Rattus norvegicus: one gene and its partner. The protein of the gene in region 1 interacts with the protein of each later gene in a pairwise test. Links are inferred from orthologs where the notes say so. Each region holds a gene or a part of one and is shown on either strand. Other genes may lie near its edges.

Region 1 (5,848 bases):
TGCCATGTGCTATGCTCTTTCTCCTGGAAGCTCCTGTAGCAGAGTCCTTTCCTTCCTTGCAGAGAGATGCTTGCAAAGGGAATATGGGAAAACTTACCATCTTTGCTCACTGAGCTTCAGGCTTGAGTCCCACAGGCCAAGATGCATATACTCCTGAGGCTACTGTTTCAGAGCTGGCAAGTCTGAGACCAAGTTGCTGTGAGACTTCTCCAGAGGCCTCTGCTTGGCTGTGTAGCCACACCACTTGTATCTGTATCCTTATCTCCTTTTCTTACAAGAATGCCAGTCAGATAGAGTCAGGATCCATATGACCTCATTTTACCTTAGTCATTTCCTTAAAGATTCTGTGTCCTGAGCTAGAAAGATGACTCAGCTGGTAAAAGAATTTGCTGCCCAGGCTTGACAACCTGAGAACCTGAGTGTGGTGATTCCCCCAAACCCACATACAAGAGGGGAGAGCTAAGTCCCATAAGTTTCTGATCTCCATGCACACACCCTACTTATACATATAAAATAATAAAAATAAAATCCCCCTCCCCACCAGAAAAGATCCCATGTCCTGCTGGATACAGTGACTTATACTAGTAACTGTTATTTGGAAGGCTGAGGCAGGAGGGTTGCTTTGAATTTGAGGCCAGCCTTGGCTACTGAGTGAAATACTTGATATCAAACCAGCCAACAAATGAAGGTGCAAAGTTGTCTTAGTCACTGTTCTCTTGCTGTGAAGACACAGCTGGGGGCTTACTTACACTTTTAGAATCTTAAGCCGTTATTATCATGGCAGGGAGCACAGCAGCAGGCAGGCATAGTGCTGGAGATATAGATGAACCACAAGCAGAGAGAGAGAGACATTGGACCTGGCGTGGACTTTTGAAACCTCAAAGCCCACCCCCAGTGACACACTTGTTTCAACAAGGCCATGCCTTCTGAACCTTCTAATCTATCAATGAGTTTTACTTTGTGGTGACTGTATGAGCCTATGAGGGACATTCTTACTTAATCCACAAAGGTATACATGAGTTCCTGGATGTAAACCCTGTGTTCTGACCTCACCTCTTTTTGCAGGTGTGGCTGGAGGGCTGACCAACCTGTCTAAGATGCCTGCCTGCAACATCATGCTGTTGGGAGCCCAGCGCAAGACACTGTCTGGCTTCTCTTCTACCTCAGTGCTGCCTCACACTGGCTACATCTACCACAGTGACATTGTGCAGTCTCTGCCCCCAGTGAGTACTTCACCTTGACCCCTAGCCCCAGCCACTAGGCCTTATCTGGCTTGGCTGGCAATAGCCCTCAGGCTCCTGGAGGATGAGGCAACATGGTTGGAAGAGCAAGGATACTATTCTGGGTCTGCCACTTGGCAATGAGGATGGTTGGGTGGCTGGAAACCAGGGGCAGCTAGAGCATACCCCTCAAGAGGCAGTTATTAGGAAAGCGCACAGGCATAAGGCCTACCTCCCAGAGTCTGGGGTATGGCTGGCCCTAGATGAGAAGTGATTATTGTAGTGGCTGTTACCTTTGCTAGAGGTTCAGTTTCCTTTCCCCTTCCCATTGCTCTAGGATCTTCGGCGGAAGGCAGCCCGCCTAGTGGCTGCCAAATGTACACTGGCAGCTCGTGTGGACAGTTTCCATGAGAGCACAGAGGGGAAGGTGAGGAGAAGATCTTTTCCTTGTGCTTGGGGTCTTTTCATAGGAAGATGCTACTTCAGAGAGCTGTCCAGACTAGCAGACGGCAGTGTGTGTCTCAACCCCAACTAAGGTCATCACATTCTCAGCTCTGTCTATCAGTTATAGAACAGCTATGACAACTCACTGTAGATGGAGTAACTACATATAAAAGTTTGGTAGACCTGCTAGCTCATATCTTTAACATCAGTACTTGGGAGGCAGAGGCAGAAAGGTCACTAGTTTTCGGCAGTCTGGGTTATATAATAAATTTCAGGCTAGACTGGGCTGCATAGTAAGATCTTGTCTTTGAAAAAGGAAAAAGCACAGAGCCAGAGATGTGACTCCATAACTTAAGTTCCTGCATGCAAGCGTTGAAGACTTGTTCAATTCCTAGTACTCCTGTTAAAAAACAAACAGGCCCAATAGTACATACCACTAACTAACCCCATTGTTGGGAAGATGGAAGAGGGAGGACATTTGGAGCTTGTAGGCCTCTCAACCAAATCAGTAAGCTCCAGATTCAGTGAAGAGACCCTGTCTCAAGAAATAAGGTAAGGAGGTAGTGTAGAAGCCATGTGATACCAAATCTTTGGTGTTTTGTGGGTGCACGCATGTGCACGTACACAGTTTCACTGGACTAACATTAGGTGTTAGACGGGCAGTTCCCATTTGTAGGCTCCTGGGAAGAAACACTCCTGCCCCTGTCTGTATCAGAGTTTACTAGGCAAGGCAGCACCTTCAGCCCCTGACTGCTCGTTTTGGGCCCTTTGTTGAGCTCATACTGTCAATACAAGGTACTGTCACATCTCAGTCCTTAATCACATCTGCAAAGATCCTCTGCCATGTGAACTGTAGCCACGAATTCTAGAGACCAGGATACCTGACACCAAGGTGGAGCCCTGTGTTTGAGGGAACAGTGTTTTGCCCACTACAGTAGGACCTGTCCTGTGCTAGCAGGGGCATGATTCCAGTGATACCTTCTGTTTTTCTGGGTAGGCTTAAGAAATAGTGTTGTGTGCATTTCCCTACTAGAAATTACATTATAGCCCAAGTCAGGGGTTTAGTCTCTTTTGCCTTTTACCACTTTCTAAACAAGGCAGCATACAGCAGGGGATTACATAGGTGTCAGAGGTCTGCCTCCATGGCTCTTGTATATGTCTGTGGTGGGCATACTGGGATTGAACCTAGGACTCTACACGTACTATACAACTGATCTACCACTGAGCTGCATCCTCAGCTCACCCTCACCCTCACCCTTTTCAAGACAGGTCTCATCTCTAGTCCAGGAAAGCTTTGAAGGATTTTTGATCCTCCTGCCCCAGCTTCCCTGGTAGCTAGGAATGGAGGTCAGTGGTTACACAGCATTTATGTTCTAGTTGGGACCAAAACAAGGCAGTAGTCCTGAAAAGAACCTGTAGTGGGTTCAGTAGTGCTGTGTGAATACCAGGGACAATAAGGGGAATTGTGGGGTGAGGAAGCTTAGATTTTGACTGACTTAGGATGTGAAGAAGAGCTTTGAGGAAATTTTAGTATGGGCCTGTGTGAAGTTACAGTCAGTTCTGTGGATACTTGTGCTATCTACTTGGAAGAGTGTTCCAGACAGCGGGAATAGTGAGTGCAAAGAACCTGAGGCCAGAGTTTGGTGAAACCCAGCAGGGAGAGGAACTTGCTGTACCCAGGAGCAGATATGTACAACCTCTGGAGGCCTCTGGCTGCTGTGGAGGTACTGGAAAGCAAGCTAGCTGGGACCTGCTCTAAGAGGCCAGGGGATCAGTAGTGTGGTAGTAAGACAGTGGAGATGACATTCTGTCTGTTGACTAGGGATATGGGGATTCTGCCTGGCCCATTTATGTTTGAAGAACTCAGGCAGAGGAAATTTTCCAGAGGGTGCAGAGCTTAGATGTGAAGGCTAAGCTACAAGTTCAAGAGCAGTAGACACTGGAACCCACAGGATACCATTCCTGGAGAAAGGGAGAACATGTCTTTGGGAGGGTACACCATCAGGTGGTCAGATATACAGTAAATGGGTTGATGATACGTAGATGTGCAGCTGAGGGGACAGTCTACATTGCTGGCCACAGCTTCTCAACTCCCTGCTAGGTGGGCTATGAACTAAAGGACGAGATTGAGCGCAAGTTTGACAAGTGGCAGGAGCCACCACCTGTGAAGCAGGTGAAGCCCCTGCCTGCACCCCTTGATGGGCAGCGGAAGAAGCGAGGGGGCCGAAGGTAAGGAGTTTGATGTTTGGAGTTGGGAAAGGGAAACTTCTTCCCAGCCAACTGCCTATATCCTGTTGATACCCACCTTACCCTAGGTACCGCAAGATGAAAGAACGGCTAGGACTGACTGAGATCCGGAAGCAGGCCAACCGCATGAGCTTTGGAGAGGTCAGGTTCCATCCATAGCACCAATAGGACCTTGTAGGATCTTCTCTTTGCACATCCTGCTGCTATCCCTCCTCTCTACCCTGTAATCCAACAGCAGATCTAGGGCTACCCTAGCCTCCTCCATCCTGACTGGCCTCTCCTCTCAAACCACCTCCATGGTGATCTTTGCAGCTTCCCAGGCTGCATCTATATCTATCATCTAGGTGGTCCTGAAAGAATAAATGTAGGTGCTACCTTAGTAGTGCAGCTCATCCCAATTCTTGGCAACCTAATCTGAATGTAGAGAAAAAAATGACTACTCTACTCAGGTCAGGAACTAGTTCTTCCCAGGGTTCCTAGCTATACCCAAGCAGAGTTAGGGTAGGCTCTTAAAAGATTATTTAGTGCAGCCTGGCTAATGAGGTGATGCCCATGAGACTGGCTGATTGGAGAATCTGTGGGTTCTCAGTGGACTGCCCCAGGGTACGGCTGAATATACCTAGCTTCTTAACAGCAGGTTACTCCTATCTCACCAGATTGAGGAGGATGCCTATCAAGAAGACCTGGGCTTTAGCCTGGGCCACTTGGGCAAGTCAGGCAGTGGGCGTGTGCGGCAGACACAGGTGAATGAGGCCACCAAGGCTAGGATCTCCAAGACACTACAGGTATGATCTGGGCCCATGAGAATGGGAGGCAAATGGGACATGGAGGTCAGTAAGCTTGAATCACAGCCTCTTCTTTCCCTTACAGCGGACCTTACAGAAACAGAGTGTGGTGTATGGTGGGAAGTCAACAATTCGTGACCGCTCCTCGGGGACTGCCTCTAGTGTGGCCTTCACTCCACTCCAGGTACCGTACCCTTTTCTACCAGGCATGTGATAAGGCTGCTGTGGAGGCCTGTTGAGCTAGCACATGAGCTTAGGCATCCATAGCCGCACAGTAAGTGCCCAACAGTTGACCGTGACAGTTGTGACAAGCTCAGACCAACTTTGGAACCAGGCCTAGGACTCTGCCTGTGTGATCCAGATACTCTCTGAGCTTCCCAGTCTTTGCTTTAAGATAGCCCTGTAGTCAAGGTCATCAGGGTGGGCTTGAGTATCATACTAGTAGCACTGAGCAGTGTGAAGCAGAATGGCCTCAGGTTACTTACCAGAGAGATAGGCAAGTGTGTCCCATAATGTCACAAGGAACTAAAGAGCTCCCAGCTTGCCAGAACTGCCTACTGAGCAGCTGCCTACAAAGAGACAAGCTTTGCTTTGTGGGGAGAGGGGTGTTGTGGGTTGGAGAGTACATATGATTGAGTCTAATACACAATGTATTTGAAGGCATGGGTGTCAGGGAAAAGCAGGAGTGAAAGGTGATGGGGCCAGGGAAAGCCCAGAAACAATCAAGATAGTGCTGGCATTGTCACCACTGTGATGGTATGGGATTTGCAGGAAACTGGCTGGCTACGTCCCTCTGGGATTCAGTTTCCTTATCTAGAACCAGGCAGGAGTGGTGATTTTAGCATCACACAAGGTTAACAGTTCTGATATCCAGGACCTACCCCTACATCCACTGGGTCAAAACTCTCCCAAATTGAGGGAGTCTTTACTGACTATAAATGGTTCCTTGTCCACAAGAGTGTCTGGGAGACTCTGCATGTCTGGTTTTCATTCTAGAGGGAGGTTTGAGCTTCCCTACTTTACCTGTCACCCTCTTCCTTTCCAACCCAGGGTCTGGAGATTGTGAACCCACAAGCAGCCGAGAAGAAGGTGGCAGAGGCCAATCAGAAGTATTTCTCTAGCATGGCCGAGTTCCTCAAGGTCAAGGGTGAG
Region 2 (5,848 bases), on another chromosome or scaffold:
ACCTGCTTTCCTTCACCTGGACCCCTGACTTCAAGCTGTTCGCCAGCACGAAGGGTGTGACAACCACCTGTCTCAGGAGGCCACTGTGTTAGGGGACTGTCAATCCTTTTCTTGGTCTCTTGAGCTCCCAATCCTTCCCACACAGGACACTTATCCATTAATCACGTAGGGGAGCACTCTTGTCCTCTACTGGGACCAGTGGGACTCCAGTAATTCATCTGAGAAACAGTGTCCTGTCTGCAACAAGACATTCCTCAAATGCCCATCTACCTACCAGGAATAATGCCAATAAGACGAAAACTGACTGAGTTATCTACTACTGGTTCTTCACTCAGCACAGAGATCACAATCAGGACCTAGAATTATTCCACCACAATGTAAGCCTCAGTTTCCCCATGTGACCAAACCCGGAGAGGGCCATTAGAATGAAAGGGTCTAGACATCAGAACTATCTGACACAGGTAAGTTGCCTGGTGCTGTAAAGTTGACCCTGGCTTTAGCCATCAGTCCGGCAAAGCACAGGCCACAAGGGTGTGCTGGAGTCAAGCCTCTACATGGTTGGCCCAAGAACTCTGACCCAAGTGCCATCAACAGCAGGGAGTAGTCACTTCCCCTCGTGTGGGGTCCTTGAGGTCTTGAGCTCAGTCTGAATGGGGGTGGGGAAAGGCAGCTTCCACTCCTGGAGCCCAGTGCATGATCTCATTTCCTCCCACAGTGTGGCTCTGGTGAGGGTGGAGGAGGGGCTGTCACTGAGGAAGAGAAACAGCCCCACTGACAATCCATCTGTCTACCCCTCCTTCCTGAAAGGCCAGTGCACGACTGTCTCCCACATTCAGCCCCTAGGCAACCTAGGCTGGATGGCCGTTCAGGGCCGGAAATGAAGTCAGTGGATTGAAGACAGCAGGTCTGGGGTGGAGGAGAGATCCCTGTTGTTCCTGTTTATGCTTTAGAAGGAAATCCTGAGTCTCCCTACACACCCTTAGCTGCCTTTGCTTTTAAGTGTCCCCCTCTCTGCAGCCCAGCCACAGGCAGCCCGCCAGCCCTCACCACCTACACACCTGTCTAGGGAGAGGTCTGCTCTCACCACCGTTGACACTGTTCTTAGATCTGTTTTGTCCTTTGCTGTTGTCTCCTGGCCTAGCATGACTGTCCCCTAATTGCCCAACACTGGCCCCTCTGGGTTGGATTTGGTCTCGCAGGTATGTGGGGATTCCTTACGACCTTTCCTACCACCTTCCTCCTAACAGCCTCTCCCATTTTCCCTCCCCTGTGACTTCCTGCTTGGGACACAGCTGCCTCCAGGGCCCTGACGACAGCACACCCTCATGCCTGCATCCTGCTGACTTCTGTCAGAACATATGCTGCAGAGGGTAGGCTTCCACAGCTAGAAATGGGCAGGGAGAGCTTGGAAGATGTGTAGTGAAGGAGCACAGTGTCTCCTACAAAGGGTTTCAGAGACTGGAGACAAGGCTTTGTCTAAGCCTCTAGAGCAATGAGGGCTAAAGTCAGTGTTATCCCAAGCCTGAAGGATCCTGAGCCTAACTCCCAATACCATGGACAGGTAGGCAGACCTCAGCCAGGAATCTAGCACGTGGAGACTTCTAGTAATGGGTCCTCAACCTCTTTCCTCAAAGTTCCACAGTGTCTCCATGGCTTTTGGCTGATCTCTGTCTGTGACTACCAAATCACAAGTTGGGCCACTCATTATTCAGACTGCACTACTAGACCTTGACATTCCTCCTTGCACATGGTGTGGCCTACCACTCACTCATGCACAGCCAAGCCCTGTGTGACAAAAACCAAACAGACAAAAAACCAAAAACCATTCTTCAAACAAAAGTCAACCAATGACAAAGCATCCTGTGGACACTAGGTCTAACCCCATGAGGGGCCGATCATCATGCTAGTCAGGGCCTGCCAGAGGGCTCATGACACCACTGAGGAGGGCACAGTTCAGGCACAGAACTGTTTGTGTGTTAACTGAGAGACCACAGGAGCAAGATGCAGCCTCAGTGAGCCTGCTTCAGTGAGAGACGTTGCCCCATCCACTTACCTCTTTCAGCTCCTGGGCCACAGACGTGAGGCGCTCATTCTCAGACTGAGTGTTGATAAGGACATTGCGCAGCTGTTTCAGCTCTGTCTGCAGCTCCAGCACCTTCCGCACATAGTACTGCTCCTTAGAGGCGGACTCCTGGATCAGGCTCTCCTCCCGGCTCTCTCCATCAGCAGCCACCTTCTTGTGGTTTGTGTGTGCCTGGCCAAATGCCTGCGTGGAGAAACAAGACATTTTATGAGATGGGTGTCCTGGGGCTGCAAAGCAATGGAGACCCAAGACCACAAGGAACGCGAAGGCCCTTGACCTGGGAAGCACTTCTTTTTTTTTTTTTTTTTTTTTTTTGGTTCTTTTTTTCGGAGCTGGGGACCGAACCCAGGGCCTTGCGCTTCCTAGGCAAGCGCTCTACCACTGAGCTAAATCCCCAGCCCCTGGAAAGCACTTCTATGTTGTGCATGTGTTAAAACACACACTGCGATGCACGTGCCAGGCACGCTTCATTACAGTGAAACTATACTAGTCTCGGGGGCACCATGTGGTGGGACAGGAAGGAGCATGAAAGATGTAAGGCTGCAAACACACATGGGACTCCATAAAGAACTAAGTTTGAGGCCCGAGGGTGCGTCCCAGCTGGAAAGTAACCAGGACAAGGAAATGGCTGGTCTATACTTTGAGCCTAGACAAGCTAGCAGGGACCAACCCCAGAGCACACCCAAAGGTGAGCAGCTGGCCCATCCTGCTACCTGAGGTCAAATCATCATTTGTTCTGGGACAGACGGGGGCTGGGCACCCGGGCCCCCATCCCTAAGGGCAGGGCACAGTAGCAATTAGCTAACCTGGTCACCTAAGGGTGTGTGAGATGCACATACCTGCGTGTTTCATACATAGGCGAGGAGCGAGTGTGTCAGGCCCTGGGATGCGGGAAGAAAACCTATCAAGTACAGCAGCTAGCAAGAAGTGCTGGCCTCGCCCACCACAGCATGGCAGTCCCAGCATGGGCAGCAGCTATGCTGTGTCTAGACCCTGAGCCCCTGGGAGCCTGGCCCCCATCACATGACCTCTGAGGGCTGCCCCACCTCCTGGGCCTTCCTTCCCTGACTCTTTGTAGGACCCGTGGCTCGTGACAAATATAAGAGAAGAGCTCCTGAAGAACAAGAAAATGATGGCTTTTACTATTTTTAAAAGTAAAACAGAATTTTTTTCACTTATTACTTCACAAATCTAGGATTTCAGACCAAGAAAACAATGAGCAAAACATACAAAGCCACATTGTACAGGGATGTCACAGAGCTGAGAAGTTTCTAATACTAACACATGAAAATTCAGAAAGCAATTCCTTTTTATTCTGTCAGGGAACTGGCAGAATGGAGTAGGGCCTGATCTGAGGCAATATGCTGTGTCCCAAGAGACTACAGGAAGGCCTCACAACAGGCCAGAGGACAACACAGTCCAGGAGCTCCAGGGCTGGCACTGGAGCGTGTGTGGAGGGGTGACCTGGGGCTCACAGTGCAACACTGCTGCAGCAGACTGTGGATATCCAAGTCACCTGCGAGGTGGCCGGGTCTGCTCATTTGCTTTCAGTCCCCAACACTCCATCTACTCTGCCCAAATCACAGCAGCTCAGCTTTTGTGACTTCTGGTCTGTTTGCCTTTACCCCGATCCTATGGAAGGATCAAGCCACAACTTGAACCTGCACAGCAGCTGGCCCACGCTGCCTGTCCACCACTATGAGACACAAAGGAAATCAAGTCCCAAGCTGGCCCCAACCTAGGGCTCTGGGAACTGTACTGAAGAGTCCAGCACCTGTGGCTCCTTGAGACACACCCGTCAACTTAGGAGTTGGGACAAGGACAACTCAGAAGTTTTCCCAAAGTGTGATGGCTAAGCACTATGACACAATATTCAAGCCTAGGCCTGCCAACCTGGGCCCTGACTTCCTCCACCCAAGCTACCAGCCTGGGGCACAGGAGCAGCCCCAGCAGCTTTTCAAACGTACTGTGATGGAGACATCTACCTCCAACTGAGAAGATAGTCACAGGGACAGACACTACTTCCTGTGTGAGAAACTACAATCTGGAAAGTACAGGAGCAAGATGATGGAACAGGATGGTGAGGCAAGAGCCTCTGCCGTCATGCCTTACCCTCCTTACTATACACCTGTCCTGTGACGTCCAGTGTGCACCACAGCGTATGCATGCCAGGCACACACATTCACAAATAGTTTCAAATATGTACCGGGGAAAATGACAGGATGAGGGGAGTCCCCCAACAGCCTTCATGCCTTCAGAGGAACTTCAGGGCATGGCATACAACAGGACTGAGGCAGATGGCAGGGCCTGTGGAAGAAGACCACAGACAGGGCAGCAAGGGCAGCCAGAACTAAGGACCAGATGAGTCAGCGAAGGGTTAAGGAGGCCGTGGGAAAGTTCAAGCCCTGACACAAGTCTGAAAACAAGCTTGTCCCACCACCAAGGTGGACCCCGACTCACAGGCTCAGAGATCATGTCTGGAGAATCAGCCTGAATTACACGCTGCTGTGGTGCATCAGAGCAGAGTGTAAAGACAGACATGAAGGACTAATCCATGTCCTAGCCATTACACCCTACAACACGCTCAGACCACGCTCAGGAAAACAAGCCCGTCCGTCCAGCTGCCACAGGTAAGCTTCATGGGGAAGACCCAAGAAAGAACTGTTCCTCAGCAGACAGCACACAGCCCTGAGCAGAGGGCTGAGACTCGGGGACTAGAACCCTCAATCAGGAGCACAGAGCAAACGGAGGACACAAAAGATCCCAGTAGCACTTCTGTAGAGGAAAGCAGGGCCAACAGCAGGCACACTGCATCACAAAGGATTAACCAACCCTGAAAGGCAGCCAAAATGAGGGCCCAAATGAAAAAATAAAATAAGTCAAAGCCTAATAAACCAGAGAGAGCAAACATGGAGTGTGTACCAATTTCAAGGAGCCAATACATCACCTCATCACATTGCCAAAGTTCCAGCAACTTTTCATAGAAAATGACCAGTTCATTCTAAAGGTCATAGAACAATTTAAAGGACTCAGACAGACTAAATGACCTTGAAAGAGCAGGACCACCCCACCTGCTACCACGACCCAGAGGCACTTCACTGCTTAGAGGCCGGACTAAAGCTTTATGGGAAAGATAACCTTTGAACCAACAGCACACATGCAAGTAACTCACATAACACATAGACGATGGACAGACAGAGACAGACAGAGACACACACACACACACACACACACACACACACACACACACACACACAGAGGACTTTAGAGTTGAGCACAGTAGTCAACAATGAACACTGAGCAGGGCCTGAGACCAACCAGAACAATGGAGAAGGTCCCATCTTGGCAGAAAACAACCATAAGGGAGGCTCGGTGGTTACAGTGCTGTCATGTAAGAATAAGGCCACTGTAATCCCAGCTCTCTATTATTTTAAGATATAGGGCCTGAGAAATTGCTCTACAGGTAAAAACCATTTGCCATTCATGTCTATTAACCTGAGTTCAGTCCTCAGAGTCCCTTAGGTGGAGTAAGAGTCAATTCTACAAAGCTGTCCTCTAACATGCTGTAACATGTGCACATGCAAATACACAGATGACGATTTAAAAACCACCTAAATGTAGTAATTCATATAATGAAGTACTACTCCCAATAAAAAAGAACTACTGATATATCAACATAGAAAGACACACCTCAAAATCACCTGAGTGGAAAGTCCAATGGGAAAAAATAGGTTGTTCAATCCCCTTTACATAAAACTCTAAAAA

What was found. The genes of interacting proteins can lie anywhere in the genome.
Region 2: the proteins of Prpf31 (region 1) and Bicd2 interact in binary tests that used the Homo sapiens proteins (3 or more experiments, as listed by UniProt). The link is inferred for Rattus norvegicus from reciprocal best matches to the Homo sapiens genes PRPF31 and BICD2.

Annotation. Positions count from the first base shown.
Region 1 is NC_086019.1:74,492,092-74,497,939, reverse strand, and holds part of Prpf31 (U4/U6 small nuclear ribonucleoprotein Prp31), read left to right. Parts: intron 1-1,065; coding exon 1,066-1,223; intron 1,224-1,557; coding exon 1,558-1,647; intron 1,648-3,765; coding exon 3,766-3,893; intron 3,894-3,979; coding exon 3,980-4,052; intron 4,053-4,567; coding exon 4,568-4,696; intron 4,697-4,781; coding exon 4,782-4,880; intron 4,881-5,746; coding exon 5,747-5,848. UniProt on the Homo sapiens protein: Involved in pre-mRNA splicing as component of the spliceosome. Required for the assembly of the U4/U5/U6 tri-snRNP complex, one of the building blocks of the spliceosome.
Region 2 is NC_086035.1:15,483,060-15,488,907, forward strand, and holds part of Bicd2 (protein bicaudal D homolog 2), read right to left. Parts: intron 2,267-5,848; coding exon 2,054-2,266; intron 1-2,053. UniProt on the Homo sapiens protein: Acts as an adapter protein linking the dynein motor complex to various cargos and converts dynein from a non-processive to a highly processive motor in the presence of dynactin.